Linked DNA regions of Drosophila melanogaster. The protein of the gene in region 3 purifies or fractionates together with the protein of the main gene of each other region. This does not show direct contact. Each region holds a gene or a part of one and is shown on either strand. Other genes may lie near its edges. The genes, in order: CG9922, Naa15-16 and san.

The links.
Region 1: the proteins of san (region 3) and CG9922 purify together in Drosophila melanogaster (affinity purification with mass spectrometry, with the first as the bait; 2 studies listed by BioGRID). This does not show direct contact.
Region 2: the proteins of san (region 3) and Naa15-16 purify together in Drosophila melanogaster (affinity purification with mass spectrometry, with the first as the bait; 3 studies listed by BioGRID). This does not show direct contact.

The regions. Positions count from the first base shown.
Region 1 is NT_033777.3:14,032,630-14,039,628, forward strand, and holds CG9922 (uncharacterized protein), read right to left. Parts: upstream 3,770-6,999; 5' UTR 3,301-3,769; coding exon 3,195-3,300; intron 3,054-3,194; coding exon 2,992-3,053; intron 2,923-2,991; coding exon 2,815-2,922; intron 2,650-2,814; coding exon 2,551-2,649; 3' UTR 2,389-2,550; downstream 1-2,388. Other genes in the region: CG3061 (uncharacterized protein), read left to right, coding at 61-193, 638-812, 877-1,291, 1,358-1,470, 1,533-1,696, 1,751-1,863.
Region 2 is NC_004354.4:19,476,186-19,486,652, reverse strand, and holds Naa15-16 (N(alpha)-acetyltransferase 15/16), read right to left. Parts: upstream 6,670-10,467; 5' UTR 6,032-6,669; coding exon 5,975-6,031; intron 5,636-5,974; coding exon 5,147-5,635; intron 5,056-5,146; coding exon 4,268-5,055; intron 4,202-4,267; coding exon 3,774-4,201; intron 3,702-3,773; coding exon 3,049-3,701; intron 2,970-3,048; coding exon 2,712-2,969; 3' UTR 2,010-2,711; downstream 1-2,009. Other genes in the region: pcm (pacman), read left to right, coding at 1-248, 312-392, 461-550; mRpS14 (mitochondrial ribosomal protein S14), read left to right, coding at 6,777-6,839, 6,900-7,223; CG32533 (uncharacterized protein), read left to right, coding at 7,396-7,969, 8,030-8,560, 8,615-8,985, 9,048-9,245, 9,314-10,242, 10,311-10,467.
Region 3 is NT_033778.4:11,356,445-11,363,637, reverse strand, and holds san (separation anxiety), read right to left. Parts: upstream 2,933-7,193; 5' UTR 2,814-2,932; coding exon 2,806-2,813; intron 2,680-2,805; coding exon 2,356-2,679; intron 2,124-2,355; coding exon 1,901-2,123; 3' UTR 1,767-1,900; downstream 1-1,766. Other genes in the region: Gr47b (gustatory receptor 47b), read right to left, coding at 369-509, 572-733, 797-1,738; ix (intersex), read left to right, coding at 3,553-4,119; CG12384 (uncharacterized protein), read left to right, coding at 4,635-4,680, 5,214-5,302, 5,367-5,522; iotaTry (iotaTrypsin), read right to left, coding at 6,137-6,895; CG13202 (uncharacterized protein), read left to right, coding at 7,166-7,193. UniProt on the Drosophila melanogaster protein: N-alpha-acetyltransferase that acetylates the N-terminus of proteins that retain their initiating methionine. Has a broad substrate specificity: able to acetylate the initiator methionine of most peptides.

The DNA.
Region 1 (6,999 bases), on a different chromosome or scaffold from region 3:
ATTTACTTTGATCACCACGTAGTTAACTAGCTAAAACTAGTGATTACGCACTAAGGCGCCATGGACGGAAACAAGGACGAGGCCCAGCGGTGCATCGACTTCGCGGTCCAAGCGCTCGCCGCGGGCAAAATCGAAAAGGCCGAGAAGTTCCTTCTCAAGGCGGAGAGGCTCTTTCCTACGGATAATGCCAAAAGTAAGGATAACAAAGGAAGTAGATCCACTGGATCAACTACGTTCACATTCCCATATCAATTGATGCGATTTAGTTTGGCAAGCATGCTTCCCTTTGCCTTTTAAAAGCGGTTATCTTTGAGGCTTGTTATCAGTAGAAACAACCAAGTTATGTTTGTGTTATGTCGCACCTTTCGTGGGTAAGCCAGGTAGAGTGGTACGATCTTTATCGAATTAGCTTTTAACATACAGCCTTGACGATATTCTAAAGATGAAAAGCAGTAAAGTAATAGTCATTACACAATACAAGAGATGCGTTGCATTCATTATTTTCACAAGAGCATTATTGCAGCACCTTTGTTTTAAAGTCCTTGTAAAACTTAACAACAGATCAACAACATCATGCCACAGCATTAAATGAATATTGACCTTTGACCTGCTGACGTGTTTCTTTTCCATCTTGTAGAGCTACTTGCCCAGTTGAAGAGCACTCCGAGCAACGAAAGCAATGGCAAATCCCGTACAGCGGGTGCCAGCGATGAGAAGGACAGCGGGCCGAGGAAACGTGTGAACTCGGATTCCCGTTCCAGTGCCCCAGATTACACCAAAGATCAGTTGGAAGCTGTGCGAAAGGTCAAAACGTAGGTACCACTCTATATAGCCAGCCTTTCACATTACTAATTGCATTTGTGCATTTGGTATTAGATGTAAGGACTACTACGAAGTACTGGGCGTTAGCAAGACGGCCACTGATTCGGAGATCAAAAAGGCCTACAAGAAGCTAGCTCTGCAATTGCATCCCGACAAGAATAAGGCTCCTGGTGCGGTGGAGGCTTTCAAGGCTCTCGGCAATGCTGCTGGCGTACTTACGGATGCCGAAAAGCGCAAGAACTACGATCTGTATGGCATCAATGAGTCGCACAATGGTCACGGCAACAATGGTGGCGGACACCATGGACACGGGCAATACTACAACAACGAGTATGGATATTCGCGTGGATTCCAGGCTGACATCAGTGCCGAGGAGCTGTTCAACATGTTCTTCAACGGCGGATTCCCACAGCAGAATGTCCATATGCGGCAGCAGCGACGTCGTCAGCAGGCTCGCGAGGATCGAGAAGTAAGTGTACCGAGTCGAAATCATTTGTGCACATTATAAACGACTGCCTTTTATCTCCATATCAAGGGTAACAACTCTTCGGCCTTGGTAAACTTGCTGCCCATCGTGCTGCTCATTGGACTCTCCATGATGTCGTCCTTCTTCATCTCGGACCCAATGTACAGCTTGACGCCCTCTCAGTAAGCAAACCAAATTAAAAATTAGCTTAGCACTAATGTGGATTCATTTCTCTAATCCGCAGTAAATATTCGGTGAAGCGTGAGACGAACTCCCTGAAGGTACCATACTACGTAAAGGACAACTTCTATTCAGAATATCAGGGATCAGTGGCCCGATTAGAGGAATCCGTGGAAGAGGACTTTGTGAATCATCTAAAACACTCCTGCAGTCGAGAGAGGAATTATCGTAAGTTAGGCAGAGGAACTATACTAAACTGATATTAACATAAACGATTTACAGGCGACTCAATGCTGGCCAAGGCGCGTACCTTTGGCGATCGGGATCTGTACAGAAAGGCGCAGAACATCAATACGCCATCGTGCGAGAATCTGCAAAAGTATTTAATCACATAAATTAGTTAATGCTATCACACGAAAAGCTACTCCTCAAATCCACCACTATTTGAAACCTTAACTGCTGGGTTGTGTAGTTATTGCATATTTTGCTTTAGTTGTTATAAATGAATTTCATTGTCTATTTTGTTTCATAATTTATATGTCTATTTAAATACCTTCCCTCTCTCCCCCAAAAAAAAAAATGAAACGGAATGAAACGTATAGAGCTGCTATGAGGCATCAGGTTTTCCCCAATAACGTTTGGTAGCATTTTCATTTCGTATAGAAAGCAATCGGGCAATATGTGAAAGCGAAGCAAACGCAACTGCCAAAAAGTCATATTTACACGATTTACGAATATAAGTGGGCGGCTGAGACGAAGGACTTTGCGTTTGTTTCATTTAGCAATCGGATACATAAATTATAAACATAAATTATACACGGATACGACGCATCATCACATTTTTCTTAAGGACACGGAACGCATGGGCAGTGGCGATATTCTGAATAAAATTGCAAGTTATTATAACTCCAAAATAAATTCGTTTAGACGATGTAAGCACTCTCACTCATTTGTGGGCTTAAAAGTCTTTTTGTTTTGTATTGTTTTCTTCGCTAGAGTTTATAAATGTACAAATAAAGCAGTGTGTTGTTACGCTACATAAAAGAAACAGACGGCGGATTGCTTCGGATTCCACGAGCACCTCAATTGCTGATGATGGCTTCCAAGGCGGCCACCACATCGCCGCTCTGCTCGCGGAGCACTTTCTCGGCATGCGCCTTGCTAACCAGCAGCTCGTTCATCTGAAAGGGCAGAGGGGAAGGAAACCATTACAAAAGGAAGATCGGAAGAAAGTTATCTATGGGAAACCAAAGGAGGAAATCTAAGGGAACTGGAGCTAATGCAATGAACTATATTTGTATCTCTACAATGAAAGGGAATACTTCCTTGTAGTTTCGCATACGTACAATCAGTTCAATGTCCTCCTTCTTGACTTGGACCTTCTGGAGCTCCTTCTCTTTGGCTACTCGCAGTTCGTTCTCCTTGTTACGCTGGTTGCCAAACTGCTCCACGGCCTGTAAATTATAAAAAAAAAGGATGTTGTTAATACAAATATTGCCTTGCTAATAAATATATGAACTTACGCTGGATATATTGTCCGCAGAGATCTCCTTTTCCTCGGCATAATCCGTCACACGTTCCAAATCTAAAAGCAAGATGAAGTTTTAGTATTAATACTCCATATTTATTAAGGATTGGTGCACAATACATGATATTTCATAGATGCCAGTCATTTTTTTGCAATTTTTCAGTGGAATGAGTTGCGGCATGTGAAATATTTATTTACCTGCGGCGCCGTCGTCATGTCGTTTCACATCGGATTTCTTTTGCTTTTTATCCTGCTCGTCATCCTCCACTTCTTCTCTGCCGTTGATTTCCGCTGCTTCCGTCATTTTCAATTGTTTTTTTTTATGTTTAATTCAATAAAAGTTCCGAAATTCTTTGCGATTTCTTCACCTCGTGCGATTAGAGATGGACTACTAGCGATAACACAATCGACATAATTTAACTAATAATCTATGAGTGTTTGCTTGGCTTTTATTGTAATAGTTTTTGAAGTTTTTTATGTAATTTCGAATTTGGAAATTGTGTATTTTCAATATGCACTTAGCGCTGTATTAAATTAATTGCATTTATGCTGCGTGTCAGCGTTGCCACCTGTCTGTTTTTGATCGAAAGCGACAGCCCTGTTTCAAAAGGCGCGCAGTTTGAAAAGTGTGCTTCAACAATTGTACACTTCCAACCAAAGAAACAGTAAAATCATCAAAACGCCAAGAAATAGTGTCATATTGTTAAACAATAAATTAAACGAAGTTGATTTTGACAAGAAAGGCGAGGAGAGGAGAGCAGTTAAAAGTTGACCCCACAAGTTTTAAGCAAAACATTGACACATCTTTCTTTAAATTTAAAGTCAATGCTAAAGTTTTTAACCGCAAAACTAATTAAAAATGTCTAGCACATGCAACGTAAGTAACTGCTTTTGGCGCTTTGCTCGTTTCTTTCGCACATTCCCAATTTTTTTGTGCTGCGGTCGAAATGTTAATTATAAGTTTGATGCTCCGGCTATAATTAGATTTTGAAGCAGTAGAGACATGCATACTTCTCTGCTCTGATGTGCGACATCCTTTTTTTAGTTCAGCTCCCCCGCCGCTCCTCTAGTCCACTGTGTGTGTGTGTCACTGTGTCCTGTGTGTCCTGTTGACATAATCGTTTGCCATCATGATTAATTTAATTGTCACTTTGACGTAAAGGACACTCACAGTTCCTCCTGCTTGCGTGCTTTTGCCCGGTTTGAAAATCAAGATTAATTAGCATCCATGACCATGGGCGGTCAACATCATTTGTTAGGGGGCGTGTGCGCAGATGGGGGGTTGGTTTGCACCAAAAAAAAAAAACGGGGGATCCACGGGGTGGCGACATATGTGCACTGCATTTAATTCGATTTTATTTCGGCAGCTCCGGATTTTTCATCGGAATTTCGCATGCGGAGCGCAAGTGATCGGAAAATGAATAAGAAATGTGAAATGTGGGAATTTTTGTGGTTTTAACTCAGTCACACAGATACCCTTTAAAAGTGGAAATATCTGTTGAGAAAGTGAAAAAGTCATTATATAAACAATTTGTAGTTCGCTTAATTAAGCTTAAATAAAAGTAATTTTCTAATCAATGACAATTTTATGACTAACAGTATTTGAAAAATAAATAATAATACTTATTTAATATATCAACTAATTTACCTTTTTCTTTTGAAGAGTACGCAAAAGGGTTAAATGCATTTTGTTTACCCGCGCAATCTCAGCTCAAACGAAGCATATGCGATTGGCAGCAACAGGCATTGCATTTGCATTTGCATTGTTAGCCCAGTTCTCATTTTCCATTTTTCCATTTTCCCCGATTTTTCACCACTCGCTTTCCCCATTTTTTTTCTCCCCGTTTTCCGTTTGCCAATTGGAAATTAAATTATGGTGCTAATTAGCGCAGCACATAAATTAAGTTGCCAATTTCGGTTGCCATTGTGGTTGGCAATGGCAAATTGAGCGTTGCATATCCACAGGGGCATCCTGTTCCTTTTACTGTGTGTTAGTGTGTGTGTGTGTGTGTGTGTGTGAGTGCTTGCGTGTGTGTGTTGGTGCTGGCACCCGAAAATTCACACAGTATCTTTTCTTTTTTTTTTTGCCATTTTTTCGGGGTTAAATTCGCTTGCGTGACGTAATTTAACTTGCATTGTCTTCGCGAAGGGCAAACATTTTGTTCGAATTTGTTGTTTTCCCTTCTGGTGGTTACTTTCTGCGTTTTACACTCGGTTTTATTGTTTCTTTTTTTCTTTTTGTTGCGGTTTCTGTTCTTTTTATGCCAACTTTTTAAGTGTGCAAAATAGATACAAAGATAGCACAGACGACAGGCCATAAATGAGTTATCAGGATTGTGTAATAATTTAAGGCGCTAGAAATGCAGATACATATATGTTTTAAAGGGATTTAGACACTTAAAAATATATGACATGTGTAGATACTTTAAAGAGTACAAGCTTTAATTTATTTGTTTTTTTTTCTGTTATATTTAGAACTTTCTGCTCTCTTGTCTTTCCGTGTTTTAATTACCAACACCCGAATGTAAATTTTGTTGATTATCAATTTGGAAATGCTCGTTGCCAATTTAATTCAAGAATTTGGCAATGAACATGTGTTCAATTTGCCACACCTCCATCAAAAATCAGCATTTCTGCTGGCTTCCTGCTTCATTTTGGGGCATTCCCTTCACGAACTGAATGCAGAATGCAATTGGCTGCACATACAGACGAGTTCACAATACTAGCAATGAAAATACAAAATTATAAACTTTTCTGAAAAATCAAACTGTATGATGGAGTAATAAAGATATTTGCTAGCTAACAAATATACATATATAAATTTTTTCAAATTCATATTTATTTAAGTTAAAGTGTCCTTTGTTTCAATACATTTTTGAGTCGAAATTTGTGGCACCTGCTGTTTAATATGGCACTTGTCTGCGTGATTTTCAGGATGCCACGGGTCGTGTCGTCTGTGGCCAAATGACATTGGGCTGTTGGCATTCGTGGCCAGTCAGTCAATAAATAAATTAGCATAGCAAATAAATTAAGAAAATGCAATTTTCAAGAACTGTTGCACAGACGACGCGCCCTGCCACGAATTTTCCATTCAAATGTGCGATTCAAGGACGGTCTTTAAATTTGTTTGGTTCAACTTTTGAAGGCGGCGAACGTTGGCGTTTCTGGCTCATTGCATGCATAATTGGCTAACAAACTCAATTACGCTAATAACACTCGAAAGCCCGGCTCAAATCCAGTGTGTGTCCTTAAATATTTATGTCTATGGGTGAGCGCGCTTGACTGACGCCACGAGAAATTATCCTTGTAGCAGAAAAAAAAAAAAATAGAAGAACAAAACCAAAACCGAAATCAAACCAACTCAACTGGAGAAGAAAAAACGAGGATTGGGGCAAATAATTGAGCCATTGAAGGCGCTCCAATGGTCAGCAAAAGTTCCAACAGTTGTAACAGATAGCGAAGTACGAAAAGTTGCTCCTTGCAAGGATACTTTCAGCCGGCGGGGATTGGGATGGGGACTTGGGACTATCCTTGAGGTAGCTGAGCTTGTGTGGCGAAGGCGACCTATTGACGACCTTTATCGTGGTGTACATAAACCATAATCGCAATTGGCAAGTGGTCGCCACTCGAGGAAGCATCCTTTTGGCCATTGTCATGCTTCACAGGATGGACACACCAGCCACCGATTCCGTGGCATATACGCACAAACGTTACACTTGAAACAATAATGTTTACTTTAGATAAATAATGTAATAAATATTATAAGTGTCATTTACATTGTTTTCTATATTATTATTTACTATTTCGTATTCAAATATATATCTGTAGTCCTTTTAAAAGCAGTATTGAGTGCTAGATAAATAAGGAAAGGCTTTGGTTTTGGAAACCTAATTCTTTGTACAAAGTATCTGTATCTTTTGTAAGTATCTTCCCTTTCATCGAGTGTACTTTCTAGTTCTGGGCATTGGCCAGTTTGGAACGCATCGAACGGAAGCCGCTGCTC
Region 2 (10,467 bases), on a different chromosome or scaffold from region 3:
TCAACAATGCGCCACCGCGATACTCAACGATCCAAGATTTTGTGCCCATACAGGCGTACCGTCCCAAGAAATTAAATCGCGTCCAACCAGCCGGTCGTCAGGACGTCGATGCCACCAAGAATCCTAGTCGTTCGCCTGTGTTGCAGCAACCGACGAACGAGACTATAGACACAAAGGCCAGTTCTAGTCTTCCGGTACAATCAGCAGGCGAACAGGTGATTGGACTGATGCAAACGCTTGAAATTAAGGTAAGCATTGGCTACAAGTCAAAGCCTTGATTACCGAACTAATGCTTTCCTCTCGGCCGACAGCAGCCGGCTGCGTCGCAGTCCGAATCTGATGGGGTCTCAACAGGCAGTGCGAACGCGCCCACAGCAACGACATCATCCCAGGTAATGGAGGAGATAGAGATAGTTATTCTGCATAATTTACTCATTCCATTTACTCGCTTCTGTTGCAGGCGGTCAACCGAAGGAAGCATCGAGTGCCTCGCATCGGAGCCAAGTTCGACTTGGAATACATACTGCCCGACTCCCCGCATCCAACTTAAGAGCGAACAAATGGGTATTTTTAGGTTCAAATCCCACCTAGCTGAAGAAATGCAACGCTATTTGGATCTTATATCACCTTATTTCTATCTCTCCTAGTCTGTGCGAGGCACTAGAATTGCCGCACACGATAGATCATTTTTTTTTTAGAGTTGCGGATTATGTGAATACTAAAATGAGACTGACTCGTCTTTATATTTTTTCAATAAACTGGACTTTACCCATATTTTGTTGTTACTCGATAGAATGCCAAGCTGCATTGTGTAAATTAGCTTTTAAGAAGGATCTGTCCTATAAGACGTATTTTGTTTTGAATAAAGCTGTCAGTGCCACGCAATCTGTGGCTAATTTCAAATGTATTGAGCAATCTCGTTCGTGATTTGTTTACAATCTTTGAAAATCTAGTGAAGGCAGATCATTTCAATCATTTCTATCAATTTGTTTTGGCAATTAAAATTCAAATGTTTTCTTTTGAATTCAAATCGAAACTCTGCACGTGTCGCGTGAGCAAGGAGTCGCAAATTCCTAAGAAATCTCTGACCTGGCATAGTTTTTTCGCTAGTTGTCGGTCGCAGAGCCTTCAGCTAGAGAATTGCCAGATCAGGGAGGCTATCGAGCTAGCCCTGTGATTATACTGTATTCTTGAATTTGGAATTTTGAACGATTTTTTTTTTGACAGCTATCGTCAATTGCCACATGACTAAATCATTGCGAGCAGGTTATTCCCAAAACGTTGCACAGAAAAATGGCAGGTAGGGAAGAAATCTTTTCCTCAAGTGTGGTCATTATTCCATGGTTCTCTCTCGCTCAGAACAAGAACAGCAAGAAAAACAAGCAAAAAAACAGGAAAATAAACAAGAAAGAAAGCAAGAAAATAAACCAAAACCAAAACAAAAGCGCCGAGCAATAGCCCAGCCTTCACTTGAGGTCAAGCTGCAGATTGAGAAAAAGCTTTCCCAGCCAGGATGGGAGGGACAGAAGCGCTACATTACCTCGGCGGGATCAGCCACGCTGACAATCACCACTAACGCAAGGATTCCCGAGAGTTTCGTCAAAATCTGCCGACATAAGGACGCCGTTGGGGTGCAGTCGACCCCAACGCGGGCTCACTCGAGCTTTTGTCGTTTTAAAAGACTCACCTATAAGCCGCGTGTCCTCAATCTGACCGATGAACCCGAAGATTGAGAGCTCCTGCTTGGTCTGGTTTCAATAAATGATGGCGTCGTTGCGCTTACTTATTTAATCCTTAGTTCAAACTGCAATGGTTTCTATATAGGTCGTTAGTAGATATACTAAATGTAGGCGGCTCAATTGCGATGCTAAACCAGCGCAAGCTGCTCAGAAATATACTAGAATGGGCACAAGGACACACAACGCATCCAGTGGAGTCAGTCCTGCCGCTCCTACTCTGCTCAATACAATGCGGTTTAGAATTAGAAGACTTGTCGTTGTGTACGAATTAAGGTTTTGATTTGCGTATAATTAATTACGACTTCATATGTACATACAATGCATTCGTTAAAAATAATAAAAAATAAGGTGTTGTTAAGAAAGCCAGCGGGTGTTGTCAACAAAGGTTCGTTCCGTTTGATTCAGTTTTCGAAATCCCACAACAGTGGATACAACAACTTGGTTAACTACATGGTTCGCGGTGACGAACGTTCGACGTGCGAATCCCACATATCACCTCCGCACCATTTCGTACCGGATTCCTATTCCTATTCCTCATCGACTCGTCCTCGTCCGAAACCATTTTGTAGGATGCTGTGTGACGGATGACGACGGGATGTGTTCTCAGGTGGCAGACTGGTAGGTGCCACGCACAAGGGCACAGCGCCAAGCCAACTGCCGCCTCAGATCTGATCCGTACCGGTCCAATCCGATCCGATCCGATCAGATAAACTCGGCCATGCCTAGAGCGGCTTGGCGTCCTCCTCATCAGAGCACTTGGTTTGTTGTTGTTAATAGTGAATTTTATTGTGGTTGCCGTTGTTTATAGAGCTAAGCTTATTCCTGTTCATATTGTTGGTTGTTAGTTAGGTTCTTCGCTTCACTTTTCGTTATTGTTGCTTTTGTTGTGTTTGTTGGTGTGGTGGCCGCAGATCTGTTGTTGCTGTTACTAACTTCTCGGGCCCGGGTATTAGTTAGTAGTCTTGTTTGGTCCTAAGACGCTGCCGCTGCCGTGGCCAAAACAGACACCGGTTCACTAGAATCAACGTGAATCAGCTGCTGCTGCTCTTCCTCGGCGCGCAGCTTGGCGGCCTCCTTCTCCTGCAGTTGAGCCTCCAGCTCCTCGACATTGCGAAAGATGCGGGCGTACTGGAAGCGTTGGTGGCACGCCTGCTGGTAGGAAGCGGCCTCTGCCTCGCACTCGCCAAACACATCGCCGTCCCGCAACGCTGTGTAGATTTTGGTGGCCTCCTGCGGAACACAATTCAAAGAGCAAGGATCAACAGGGGGCCAGTCAGTGGGTGGAGAAATGGGTTTGGCAGTCACTTACCTCCAGCCGGAGCTTGGCCAGGTTGAAGCTAGTGACCAGCTTGATGGCGGCAGCTTTTTTACTATTGTCCAGTTCGTACAGACTGCGTGCGCCCTCGTATAAATGCAGTATGGAAGCGTTGTGTTTGGCAATAAACTCATCGTTGAGCTGCTGGGGCGTCTTGCTGCCTATCAGTTCTTTGGTGGCCTTCTCCAGCACCTGCTGCACGTGCTCATTGAACGGCTGCTCCTTGGCGGCGCTGGTCAACGATTTAACGAAGCGAATAATGCAGCTGTGGATTACGGGGTGCGAGGCGTCGACGGCGCGAGCGCGCCGGATGCACTGCAGCATAAGGAGCAGTTTGTTCTTGCGGTAGTACAACTCGAAGGCCAGCAGATGCGTCTCGATGCGCTCCTTAGCCAGCTGCTGCAGCGGTTTCAAGAATTCAATGGCCTTGTCCAGCGGATCGTCCGTGCGCTCCAGCTTCTCGGCCACCAGCTCGTCCAACTGCGGAGCATCGGGGTCGGTCTCCTGGTTTGCCTGCTGTTTCGATTTCTGGTGCTGCTCGCGCTTCACCTGCGCCTGTGCGGCCTGCGCACTCTCCAGCTCAGCTTTCTTCTTGGCCTTGCGCTGTTTGCTGCGCAGCTTCTTCAGTTCTGATGGCGGCAGGTTCTCTGTAACGAAGAAAGGCGGTCATACAGCTAACTAGAACGAGCAAGGGAGCTAGTGGGGTAATGTCCACATACCAATGTCAATCTCTTCAATGGTTGTCTCCGACTTAAGCGGCTTGTCGTACAGACGAATGTACACCTCGATGGCGCACTTGGCCGCCTTGAAATAGAATGGATGCTGGCGTAGCACGTCCTCCAATCGCAACAGGCCAACGTAGGCGCGCAGCGTCATTTTACGCATGCAATAGGTGTGGAAATCGAACTGGTCCTCGACGATTTCGGCAAAGTGGCGCTCCACCTCGTGGCACTTCTTCAACGACTCGCCCCAGCGACCCATGCGCTGATAGGCCAGGGCACACTCCGTCTGGAACCACATGCACTGCATCTCGTTCAAGTTGTCCATGGCGGAGACACCCTCGCGAGTGAACTTGGCGCAGATCTCCTCTGCCTCCTGCACCATGTTGGCGCGCAGCATGTACTTCGCGCACTTCGAATTGATGTAGCTGAGGGGAAAACATTGATGGTTACATGGTTCAGCAGGTCTATGCTAGTCCATGGGGCTCACTCACCGATCTGCCGTGTCCATGCTTTGGGCCTCCTCCAGCCAGACGTACGCCTCCACGGGATCGCCAGCATGCTTAAAGATGCGACCCTTGGTGATAAGCAGCTCAATGAGTGTTGGCGTATGGTCGATAGCCACATTGATGTACTCCAGAGCGCGGTCCGTATCGCGCATGTAGTCGTAGTGCTGCGCCAGAAACAGTGCCGTCCACACCAGCGCCGAGGCCGGCTCGACGGGAATTCCGGCGTCGGCATCTTCGCGAGAAAAGTGGCCGGAACGGGTAAGGTTCTCGAAATACTGCAGCGCCAGCTCCTCGATAACGGCCGCCCTCTCCGGTATCTGGTGCAGAGTGCGCACGTTGACAAATAGCGGCGGAATGCCCTTACGCAGACCGCGGCGCAGGTACTCGTCGGTCACGACGCGAAACTCGTCGCCGTTGGCGATGTTCAAAGGCAGGCGGCGAGGGCACAGGGCGCGCGGATACTGCTCCTGGAACACGCGATAGATCGACACCACGGCGCTTGAGTCGGTCACCTGGCGGGCGGCAATGTACTGCTCGTAGTAGAGCACATTCTCCGGATTGCGGCGGATCAGAGACTCAAAGATGGGCACTGCCTTCTCCTGCTGCTGCAGCTTGATGTACAGATCACCCATGGTCTCGCGAACGGCCAGCTTGTCGACGATCTGGCCCTGGTATTTGGTCAGGTGGTCCACGGCCTGCTGCAGACGATTCGACTCGATGAGTATCTGGTTCTGGTAGAGCAGCAGCTCCGAGTGCCGATAATCGTGCGCCTCCTGCCCACGGAGCAGAGACATGGAACAAGAAATACGAGCATTTTATTGAATTGGAATATAAAATTGAATCGGCAGGCAGCTGGATACATACAATCGACGTTTGCGACTGGCTGAACGTCTCCAGGATGCTGTTGGCCATGTCGTAGTCACCCAGCAGATGGTAGCTCATGGCGAAACCGATCCAGGAGGCGTGCTGCGAGGGACGCAGCGTGAACAGGTGGTGGCGCGTCTCCTTGTAGCCCTCGAGGTCGCGCATTTGGATCTGGAGAAGCGACAGGTCCTTCAGGATCTGCAGGTTATCCTTCTCCCACTTGAGCGCGTTGCGGTAGCACTTGATGGCCTCATCGTACTTCTTGTCGCTGCGCTGGAGCAGTCCGTAGACGTGCCAGCAAACGTGGGAGCGCAGGTCGTTTCGCAGACCCAGACGCACATACTTGTAGGCCTCCTCGCGGCGCCCCAGTCCGTTCAGAGTAAGCCCCTTCATGGCCAGCGTCTCGCCGTGCTCCATGTACTTGGGGTTGGACAGGATCTGCTTGGCCAGTTTAAGGCCATTTTTGTACTGCTTCAGTTCGTAGCATTTCTGTTTGATAAGAAAGCACAGAGAAGAAAGGTTTTAGTCAAAGTTTCTCGCATCCCGCGCAGCGCGAATTTTGAGGTTATGAGACCAGCGGGCCGACCACAAACGTCGGCGGTTGAGCAGAGCTGTGCAATCGCCCGCTGAAGCCACACATCTCGAGCAGCGGAGGCATCGCCTCCGGATTGCTTCTGCCAAAAATAGGCACTCTCCACCTGACTTCGGCTAAAAAGCACATGGATGCCGAAGCCGGCCAAAGGCACGAACAAAGGGAGGGGGCGGCACAGTTGTGGTATTAAGGGAAGGGGAAGGTATGGGACAGTAGGGTCACCTAGACCGGCTTACAAGTAGCTTGCGGAAGAGCGCGCCCTCCTTGGGCGGCAGGGGATCGCTAGAAGGCATCTCTGCAAGGCTGCGGCTGCTCCTCTCTTCGGCCTGCTGCTTCTTCTGCTTGGTCGTTCTTGTTCTTCCTCAGCTGCTGACTGGGACTGGGTTTTCGCCTGGCCGTGAATTGCACCGGACTGCGGGATCTGTGGATCAGCGAGCTGAGCTGAGTTGCGATGCCTCTTCTGCTGCTGCTCGGAAGCGGAGCTGGACTCGATTGGCAGTCTATACGGAGTAGACACACCACACACACAAGGCGAAAACGGCGAACGGCAAACTGCGGGCACGAGCAAATTTCTAAATCGACGTGAGACGACCACACACACCCACACTGGCAAGCTCGACTGTGCACATGCACGCACTGGCGCACGCACACTGGCACACGTGTTCACGCGCTTCGCGGCGAATGGTAACAGCAATTGTACGCCACTGCGAATGGGTGTGAACGCGCTCGTTTTGAATCGCGCTGCTAGGCGGTTATGTAAAGCGAGTGAATTGTTAATTAAAACTTATTCCGAGAGGTCGAAAGTCAGCCGGCTTTCCATGTTTTAACCTTATAGATTCCACACCGCATGCTTCGCCATCGTATTTTTCATTTAAATTACCCAGTTCTCGTATACGAAAATAATAGGCAATAAATTTGCAATTCACTGTATGGGCTCATCAGCTGTTGCCTATCGATAGTCCCGCGCGTTAATAACCGACACTATAGCGAACAAAGTAAAGAGGCAAAAAGAAGAAGAGCACCACCGAAAGCAACAACATGAATTCTCTGGCCAGGATCGGGGGTTTTGTGTGCCAGTCCGTGCAAATAGCCGGCTGCGGGGTAAGTTAACATCGTACTCCTAGCTAAGCGAACATAATATCCAGCCCATTGTCTTAACAGCTGCAGCAGGTGCGCACAAAGTATGCCGATTGGAAGATGATTCGCGACGTAAAGCGGCGCAAGTGCGTCAAGGAGAACGCCGTGGAGCGGCTGCGAGTCAACTCGCTGCGCAAGAACGACATCCTGCCGCCGGAGCTACGCGAGGTAGCCGACGCCGAGATCGCTGCTTTTCCTCGGGACTCATCGCTCGTCCGGGTGAGGGAACGCTGCGCGCTTACGTCACGTCCGCGCGGAGTTGTCCACAAGTACAGGCTCAGTCGAATCGTGTGGCGCCACCTCGCCGACTACAATAAGCTGTCCGGCGTCCAGCGCGCCATGTGGTAGCATCTTCTGTTAGCAATCTAGGGAAATAAACCTTGTTAGTAGTCATCCACATTCCAGAATTGTGTTATCGGCTTGGGTTCTTGCACAGCTGACCGTTTATCGGTAGCAGTGTTATCGTTTGCTGTGGGAAGAAGTAAATACAAATTTTAGGAACTATTTTGCTTCGGTGAAAATGTCTCGGATAAAGAAGAAGGCAGATGAACATGCCTCCAGCCGCCGCAGGACTCAGATCAATCTGATCGAGTTCAGTTTCTTGGATCACAAGGCGGAGCTCGTGGGCCTGCTGCAGGCCAAGAGCCGCCAGGTAGGCAGGAGTCTGGTGGAGAACGAGGCTGACTTCTGGAAGTTCGTGGGCAAGTACGAGGCTATGATGCGCTCCACGGGCCAGCCCGTGCTGCCGCCTCGACTCGCGGAGGCGGAGCTGAGCAGCATGCAGCCGTATCACCGCAGCAAGCACTTGGCATTGCGGCTGGACGCTGACGAACTGCTTCAGGAGGCGCGCGACCAAATGCAGTCCCAGTTTCGTCATATCTTGCTGGTGTACTTAGACTTCCGCCAGACGGAAAAGTTCCAGCGTATCCGAAAGCTGCGGCAGACACAACGCAATCTACCCATTGCTCGCTTCCGGAAGGACTTGCGCGAGGCACTGGACACGTCCCGCGTGGTCATCGTGGCCGGTGACACTGGCTGCGGCAAGTCCACACAGGTGCCCCAGTATCTCTATGACTTTGGCTACCGCAGCATTGGTGAGTATGCGGCTTCCCATTGAGGCTGCCTTACCAATGATCGACCTTTTGTTGCCCTAGCTTGCACCCAGCCGCGCCGTTTGGCCTGCGTCTCCCTGTGCAAGCGCGTTGCGCACGAGCTGCTGGACGACTACGGCAGTCGGGTGGCATTCCAGATCCGATTCGAGCGCAGTCGGACGAAGCTCACCAACATCCTTTTCATTACGGAGGGCTTGTTGCTGCGGCAACTAGCGGTGGCCGCCAACCTAGACCAGTACGATGCCCTGATTTTGGACGAAATCCACGAGCGCAACTTATTCGGTGACTTTCTACTGGGTGTTACCAAGTGCTTACTGAGGGCGCGGCCGCAACTGAAGCTGATACTCATGTCTGCCACCATCAACGTGGAGCTCTTCCACGGCTACTTCGGCGAGGAGGGCGCACGGCTGGTCCAGGTGCCGGGACGTTTATTTCCCATCAAACTGCGCTATCTGCCGCCTCCTGCACTGGAACTAAAGGCGGGACAGGCGACATCCAAACGCTCTCAGAGAAACCGCATCGATCCAGCTCCATTTGTCCAGGTGCTTAGCCTTATTGACCAGCAGTATCCGAGTGAGTTTAGTTATCATGTTCTTGTAGGGATCGCCTAATAATCATCTTACCTAGCCAGCGAGCGCGGTGACGTCCTTATCTTCGTTAGCGGCGTAAACGAAATCGAATCTGTTGTGGAGGCCGTTCACGAGTATGCCACCGAACAGACTCATTGGCTCGTCCTGCCGCTGCACAGTGGCCAGGCGATCGCGGACCAGAGCAAGGTGTTTGACTACGCACCCGAGGGCATGCGCAAGTGCATTGTGTCCACCAACATAGCCGAAACGTCGCTCACCGTGGACGGCGTGCGGTTCGTGGTCGACTCTGGCAAGGTCAAGGAGATGAACTTCGACGCAACCTGCAAGGGCCAGCGTCTGAAAGAGTTCTGGGTGTCCAAGTCGTCTGCGGATCAGCGCAAGGGTCGTGCTGGTCGCACGGGACCAGGTGTAAGCTAGAACCTAACCCACGGTTGCTCCATTTCTCATACATTCCCACTTTCCGAGCGCAGGTCTGTTTTCGGCTCTACACTGCGGAGCAATACAACGCCTTCGAGGCATATCCCACTCCGGAAATTTACCGCGTGCCGCTCGACACGATGCTGCTGCAGATGGTGTCCATGGGATTGCCCGACGTCCGGGCCTTTCCATTCATAGAGGCCCCGGAAACGGAGCGCATCGAGCAGACTATTCTGGCGCTAAAGCAACACGTGAGCATTTCACCGATACCCAACTGTGTAGACCCCAATTCAACCGGACTTCTAATCTCTAATTGCAGTGCGCCCTCAGCGTGGAGGAAAAGATCACACCGCTGGGCAGATCGCTGGCCAACTTGCCCGTAGAGCTGTCCATCGGCAAGATGCTGCTTATGGGCAGCGTGTTTCCCGAGGTGGAGCAGCTGCTGACCCTGGCCGCCATGCTGAGCGTGCAGAACCCGCTGACGAATCGTGCCCACACAGACCAGCGCTGCGTGCGCGAGCGGGAGTCTCTGGAGTCCGATCATGGCGACCTCTTCACCCTGGTGCGACTCTACAACGTGTGGGTGCAGCTGAAGATGCGGCGCGATGGCACTCGACAGTGGTGCCGTCGCTTGGGCATCGAGGAGCAGCGCTTCTATGAGGTGACCAAGCTGCGTCAACAGTTCCAGCGCATCCTCGAGAGCTGCGGCATGGTGGTGGCCAGCGATTCGGACTCCCAGTTGACCAGTGCCGAGCGCGCAACGCGACATGGTGAGCTGCGCCAGCTGAAAGCCATGAAGCGCCGCCAGCGATTTGAGCAACCCCGTCAGCGCAAGTTGCTCAAGCAGAGCGCTGGACGGGTAGCGGAGGACGAGGAGGAGCAGGAGGAGGCGCAGGGCGACGATATGAGGGACGTGGACTTCCGGCTGCGGTTCGATCCTCGACAGTTGGCGCTGCTGGAGCGTTCGTCGCGGCTCGACCGACACAGCGTCGTTGTGCTGCTAAAGCTGCTGCTCGGCAGCGGTTTCTATCCACAGCTGGCCATCAGCGACGAGTTCAACTACTGCAAGGGTGGTGGTCAGCAGTTCTTCCACACGCGGCTCAAGCCCTTCGTGCTGCAGCACCCAAACTCGCAATTCGCCAAGCACTTCGAGCTGCTTAAGCTGACCGAAAGCGATCTGCTGCCCAAGCCAGACTTCTACACGCCCAAGCTTCCGCTCAGCAAGCGCCACCAGTTGCTCTGTTACCAGTGAGTGCGTGCGTCTGTACGAAATTGCAGCGCCATACTAATCCCCAAAAAACTACGTACTACAACAGGTCGCTGCTGGAGACCGCCAAGCCCTATCTGATTAACTGCATCCGCCTGCCGGCTGCCCAGACGCTATTGCTCTTCAGCTTCGCCATTGACACGAACGCGGGCATCACACAGATCGCCTGCGACGGCTGGCTGGGACTGGATCTGCCCATGCCCGGC
Region 3 (7,193 bases):
CGATTTCTTAATCATTTCTTACTATGCATCCTTTTGAAGTCCCATTGCTGCAGGATGAGATGCTACCATTTGCGGTATCGACGAGAAAAATTTGTCATAACATTACCGCCAAATCAAAGTACCATGAGTTCTCTATCGACTTTGTGCCGGCGATCAAAATCCTCGTCGACGGATTTGAGTGGCAATCAGTACCGAAGGAGGCGCCAGGACCAAAACTGTCAAACGCCTTTATGATGATCTGAGTGTGTTTTAATTCGGAGCTGAACTATAAAGAAGTAATTAACCAAACCGTTTTATTGCAACGTGTTAAGATACGTAGTATACGTAATAAAGATAAGCTAATTTTTTTCAATGTAATTGCAACTATTTCAATCCATGTGAGTGATGGGTCCCATTGGGCCCACAATGTCCACATCTTTGCCCGATGTCAACTGGTGATCTTTGATTTGCTGTTGTTGAAATAGCAGCTGCACCAGGATAATCACATAGTTGGCCATTCCGTTGTACACCTGCCAGGATAAGTAAAAGATCAGATCAGGCAGGTTTCCGAGCGGCTCATGGTATCACCCACCAGGTAAATGGTAGAAACACTTAGCAAGGTTGTGCTGCCCACCATTGCCGCTTGCCGATTGTGCATGCGCCAATGCTGAAAGTCCTCCGTTTTCCGGCGAGCCACATCCTGTCCGGAGAAGTATCGCGAGTATTGGCTCAACAAATGCATACAGTTGCGTTTCTAGAGAAAACCAGATAGAGATGCGAAATGCAAGTTTCTGCATACGGAAATAAGGTCACCCACCTCTCGCAGAAGTAAATACCCATAGGTGCTAGTAATGACCACTTTGTAGGTGTGTATGGCCACGTGCAGCAACATGTACACGTACTCGGGATCCCAGGGCTCTCTCTCCAGCAGCTTTTGGCAGATAACGTACACGAAGCAGGTCATGATAGTGAAATCATAAAAGATACCAGCAGCTGCGGCGAATCCAAAAACTCCGTTTAACTCCGCCAGGAGAAACGAACAGCGCTTGGACATTTCGAAAAGATAAGCAATCCTTTCGTGCACCTCTGAACTGTCATCCGCTTGGTAAAGTTGGTGAAGCAGCTGCTGCACCAGACGCAGACGAACCCTTATAAAGTCCATAATACCTATGTGCACGAAACCCAGCAATCCTACGGAACTGGTCAGCAAGGTGTAGGTGAAGGCCATCAGCAAGGTGGACGGTATGCCGCATGTGCAACGCGTCGTATCGAAGATCAGTGAGATGGAAAAGGAGAAAAAGCAAAAGCCGACAATCACAGTGCCATACCAATACTTCAAGCGAGCGCGTCGATAGTTCCACTGAACATGAGGGAACACCATCAAAACGGAACGATCGAACTCTTGCATCCTAGCCACGAGTTTCAGGTGTCTGTCCTTCTGCAAGTCCAGCGAAAGGCAGTACTCAATGTAGGTGACCGAGCAACTGAGGCACTCCCAGGTGAATATTGCCTTGACCAACGGGCTAAGGTGTCCAAACATGGCAGCGGACATCTCGGGATCCCTCAGCTTAGTCATCACGGTAGCCATAAAGCAGATAACCATAAAGGAGCGCGTGAAAAGGGCATAGCACACAGTCCACCTGTTTGAAAACGCACCTCCACGATCAGGACTTCTCACCCGGATTGTGACCAATCCCCAGTAGAGCAGGAGGCTGTACAAGTTTCCGTAACAGTAGACAAAGCCATCGTCGCGTTGCATTGCCCAAGTAATGTTAGTTTCGACTGGCCAAGCCGTATAGAGCTATTTATTCCCGCGCAGGGGTAATTATTATTGATTACACATAGATATGATCGGACTAATTGAATACATCGTTTTGGCCGCCTCTACATGTCTGTTTGTTATACATATTGAAATTCATCTTTAAACAAATGTGAACTGTCGTGCTTTACTACGTGAATTTGAGTTCGCGGTGGTGCTGGTGGCGGTGCTGTTTGAGTTGGGTGCAGTGCGGCGCAGAGTCTTTTGCAGTACATGAGCGTCCGCCGGCTCGATGCGCTTATAGTATTGCTCCTTGGTGTCAACAATCTCGAAACCAAACTTCTTATAGAACTCGATGGCTCCGTTGTTGTTGATTTGCACATGTCTAAAATTATAACCAGAATTAAAAAACATGATCTAAAGTATTTTCGAAATAAACCTATTTCCTCCTTAGCCAAAAATATATATATTATGTATTAAATGGATAGATAAATAAGCCAGATAGGCCGGAATTAAACTTTCCCACTTAAATAGTTATAGGTTACATTAAAATCGAACTACATTGCTCCCCAGGGGTGTGTCGAAAACACACGAATCTTAATGATAAGTTTTCTTACAGAAAAATGCTGTCGAAGTTTCCGTCCTTCTCGGCGAAGTTCATAATGTGCTCGAACATAACTGTGCCGATGCCCAGGCGCCGGTACGGGGAGAGGCATCCTAGGGTCATGATATACAGGCGCCGCTGGTTCTCAGTGTTGTCGATGCGACAACAGACGGCGCCCACTACAATGTCGTTGTAGTAGGCCAATTTGGCCAGTTCGCCGGCCTCCAGGACGTCCACGTAAAACTTGTCATTGTAGGAGACCGGGAAAACCACGGTGTTGAGCTTCTTTAGCTGCTTGATGTTGTGGGGCGTCACGTCGCCCAGTTCGATGCTGCTCCTGCAAGCGGGAAAGGGTAGGAACATGGGTTAGCTTTTCCGACCCAAGCGGCACTTTTAGGTTATGATTCCGGTGCATCTCCTGCAGTCACAATCCTCCAATGGTCCGGCAAAGATAGCCACTCACCTAGTCATGTTGTCTGTACGATTTCTGTTGATTTAGCAACGCGCTTTGCGCCGAAAATTGTAATAGGAAAATGTGTTTTAAGCGCCTCAGCTGTTCCTGATTGTTCGGGTTGCAGGTCGCAAGTTATCGTTATCGGTTATTGACGCCGGCCAGAATAGCTATTTTATAGCAAGATAAATTTGATTTTCATATCTAAGACTACTAACTAAACTTTTTTGCTCACACTATTTTAAGCAATAAACAAAAACTAATAATTAATTAAAACAGAACTAAAAACACTCAATGCTAAATGAAACATTACACATCGTTTTTTATTTGGGATACGCATACACTAAATGAGATGACAGCTCTTTCCGGTCGGTTGACATTAGCTATCACTTGTTTGACAGTTAGAATATGAACGAACACTTTCAATAATGGCCAACTTTTAATTTCAAAACATATTGTTACCTCTACTTTTTCGTAGTGAGTTATGCTATAGATACACTTTTATGTATGTAACAATATGAAATATTGGGTAGTCCTTGTTTCTAAACTAGTTTTTTTTAAAGAATTTTTTAAATTTACAGTACAACTTTTGTATTTTTTAGCAACTCTTAGTTATATTTATATTATATTCGATATTCGCCATGGGTACGCGAACGCAAATGTGAGAAATCTCCTAACGGGTTTTTCTTCACAAAAAGAAAACAATTCGCGGCTGTTCAATATTTTTCTCCCCCAATATCCATCGATTTCGAGTGCCAAATGAATCCCAACATGAACATGATGCCCATGTCTGGGCCACAAATGATGCAGGTAATGCAATCCTCGCCATCGGGACCCCCAGGACCAGTGCAGCATCAACAGCAGCAGCCTCCACAGCCACTGCAGCAGCAGCAGCAGGCCGAAAAATTGGACAACATTTCCAGGGTGAAGAGTTTGCTGGGACCACTGCGGGAGTCCATGTTCCTCACCATCCGGTCGAGCGCCTTCGCGCTGCAGCAAAACAATCTCGCGGACAACTTAAAGAGGGACACGGGTGCCCACCATGTTCCGCGGTTCGACAAGCACTTGGAAGACTTTTACGCCTGTTGCGACCAGATCGAGATCCACTTGAAGACGGCGATGCAGTGCCTCCAGCAGCAGAACTCCTCCAATCACTATCTCCCCGGTCCGGTGACTCCCATGCGCATGGAGACCTTTATGCCGGACAACGCCGGCCCCATTTCGTATCCCACTTACTTGAACACGGTCCGCGTTCACATACAGTCCGCCAAGGATATACACGACACTCTGATTAGTGCCGCGCAGAACATTTCGCAGGCTGATTGATAGTTGTAGTAGCATTAGGTTTTATTATTTCACACGCATGCACTTAAGTTAAGTAAATAAATATTCTTAGATATAAGATAACAATGATCTTTGTTTGGGAAAGTCGAAATGGTGTTACCATACTCAACGTTTTTACAGGCGGAAGAGTAAAAGGGAAAATAATAAAATAAATATAGCTTGTGGGCATTAGTTTGCATACAGAAAACATGTTACACAAAAACATCGAGCAATAAAATAAATTCTAGTTGTATTTCGTGTACCACTATTTGTGAAAATGTTTGCAGTGAGAACGCGTTGCAGCAGTCGATGAGTAACTGCGCATCCAGTGAGAAAAGGCTAAAAATTCGATAGACAACAGTCGGACGTGTCACAATTAGAACGCAAAAGCAAAACACAGCGGTGCCGCGCATTTATTTACAACTAGAAAAGCGGTAAGGTCTCATTTTGTTGTTAACTGTGCACAAGCCGTTAATTTATTCAACTTCTCCGACCCTCAGCTTACTAAACCAGAACAAATGGCAGATGAACAACCAAATCTTGTGGCCGGACACCCACCTGCATGTAAGTGCACTTGCATTGGTGTGTGTGTGTCGATGCAGACGAGTTTTCGATTTTTGGCAGCAATTGAATCTTATAAGAACAAACTGCCTTGTTGGCAATCAATAATGCACCCAATCAAATCAATTGCCAGAATATCTGCGCCCTTATCAGTATCTTAACCTGTTTCGGCCAAAGCTGATAAGTAAACAAATAAGCGAACACAGGCAAGCAAACGCATAGCTTTCAAGAAATGTATGTTTGTATTTGTACTTTATGCTGACGTCACGTGCAATTCAAACAATAACGTTAACTGAATAGGAAATTATTACTTTTTAAAGTAGCTTTTTACGCCTTATATTTTATCCTTAACGTTTATAAAATGCCATTGACTTAATCATCTTCGTACAATGTAAATAATAACATGTCAACTTTGGACGACTAGTATGGCTTACTTACTTTTTAATAGCCGCTTTACGTAAACACGGCTTGAATCGGCTACTGTGGCCAAGCCTCATTTGTTGCCAACCCTATATGTTTTTGTTATTTAATTATAGTGAAGGCTGGTGGCATGCGAATTGTGCAGCACAAAGCGCCGACGGCAGAACGCGCGCCCAAGGATGCAGAGGATTGTACTGGACTGACAGTGAGCTATTGACATAAGTATGTGGTTTTCAATGGAAACTAACTTATCCTCTAATCCTTTAAAGCAACCCATTGCCGTGAACTCCGGCTCTGTGAGCGGTGCCCCCGTCAAGGGCAACACGGACTTTACGCCCGCCTCCGCCCAGGTGGCCCACTCGCCCAAGCCACCGGCTGCAGTGCAGCAGAAGCCCCAGATCCACATCCAGCAGCCACGGAAGTGATGCGTACTCGGGCGGAATAACTATTATCATTATCTAATCTCTTTGATCTTTTGTTGAAATTCTATGAGTCCTCTCAATGGTATTGAAATCGCCTTTGAATGCGATATTTACTCTTTAATTTTATATATGCATTTGCCACTGCATTCCATAAATTAAAAATGCTGATTTTCTGAGTTAATATTTTGTAATAAACTTTATCCCTTTTATAGATTTCAAGACATTCGTTTCGAATGCGTATATCTTAAATTTTTACCTAAACCAACTCGTGGTGTTCCTGGTGAGCTTGGATGCGATAAAACATTGACCAAAGAAGACATATAACACTATACATGAAATTCGTGATTTCCGATGTTATCTATATTGCCCTCAGATCTACTGGAATTTGCTCTACACGTACTCTTAAAATTCCCAAGTGCTTATTCAGCACAACGTGTATATAATTAGGGAAACTCTAGCACACTAAATGCCCCACTGAACTTCGGTGGTCCGGGGTGCGGACTTCAAATCCGTAGTCGATTTGCGTCGAAGTGGTTCGATTCCACCTGGGGGGCGAATATTAATGGAGTTGCATTCTTAAACTTTTTTAAGCATGGTCTTTATTTTCCAAAATCTGTTCATATGGCATTGGCCGCCTTGACTATCCAAGGTCGCAGAATCGCCACATCGGCATAGACACCGGGGTAGTTGTCGTCCGCACACCGGTAACCCCAGGATACAATGCCCACCAGCTGGCTACTGGCCACCAAAGGACCTCCAGAGTCTCCCGTACAGGCATCTGCATCAGTGCTGGCAGCGCAAATTGTTTCCTCGCCCACAAAATCCGCACCGTAGCCAAACTTTTGCGAGGCACACTCTCCGCGATCGATGATCTGCAACTGGGCCTTCTGCAAGCTATCGGAGAGGGCTCCATTATCAGTGTGGCCCCAACCCGTGACAGTGACTGTTGTTCCACCCGATGGACTCGTACTGGCTAAATTGATGGCTCTCGTTGAGAGGCCAAAGGTCAGTGGTGTGGACAGACGAAGCACGGCAATGTCGTAGTGCAGGAAGCGGGAATCAAACTGCTCGTGGACTTTGTACGCCGCCACAGGAACCAATGTGCCGCCGTAGTTGTGATTCTGTGCACCCACACGCACCTTCATCAGCGTCACGGATCTCTCATGTAGACAGTGTCCGGCTGTGATGATGATCTCCTTGCTATAGATGACTCCGCCGCACTCGTGGCGCGCACTGATCTGAATAGACACCTGCCAGGGGGCGTTACGAATCAGCTGATCGCTTCCGCCAATAATTCGTCCAGTGGCCTCGACATCTGACGCATCGCCGAGCAGCAAAAGGACCAGCACCGTAGCCACTATTCCGTAAACAGCCATTCCGAAAGCCAAGTGCAAACTGCTCGTATTTGTCCACGAAACCCCTTCATGGCGTGCTTTTTACTAGGGCTGTAAAAGTTAATCTTCGGCTAATTGATGGCTTATCGTTAGTATATATTACTGATACCCTTGATTGGTCTTGGTCAGCACTGCTCCTTACCCGGTTCTCTAGTTCGATATGAAAACACGTTGCCCAGGCAACTATTGCCAAACAAATTTATTTAGATGTTGTGAATATCGAAAAAAGGACTTTTGAGAGATAATACCGACATGGATAACTGGAAGATAACCGCGGAGG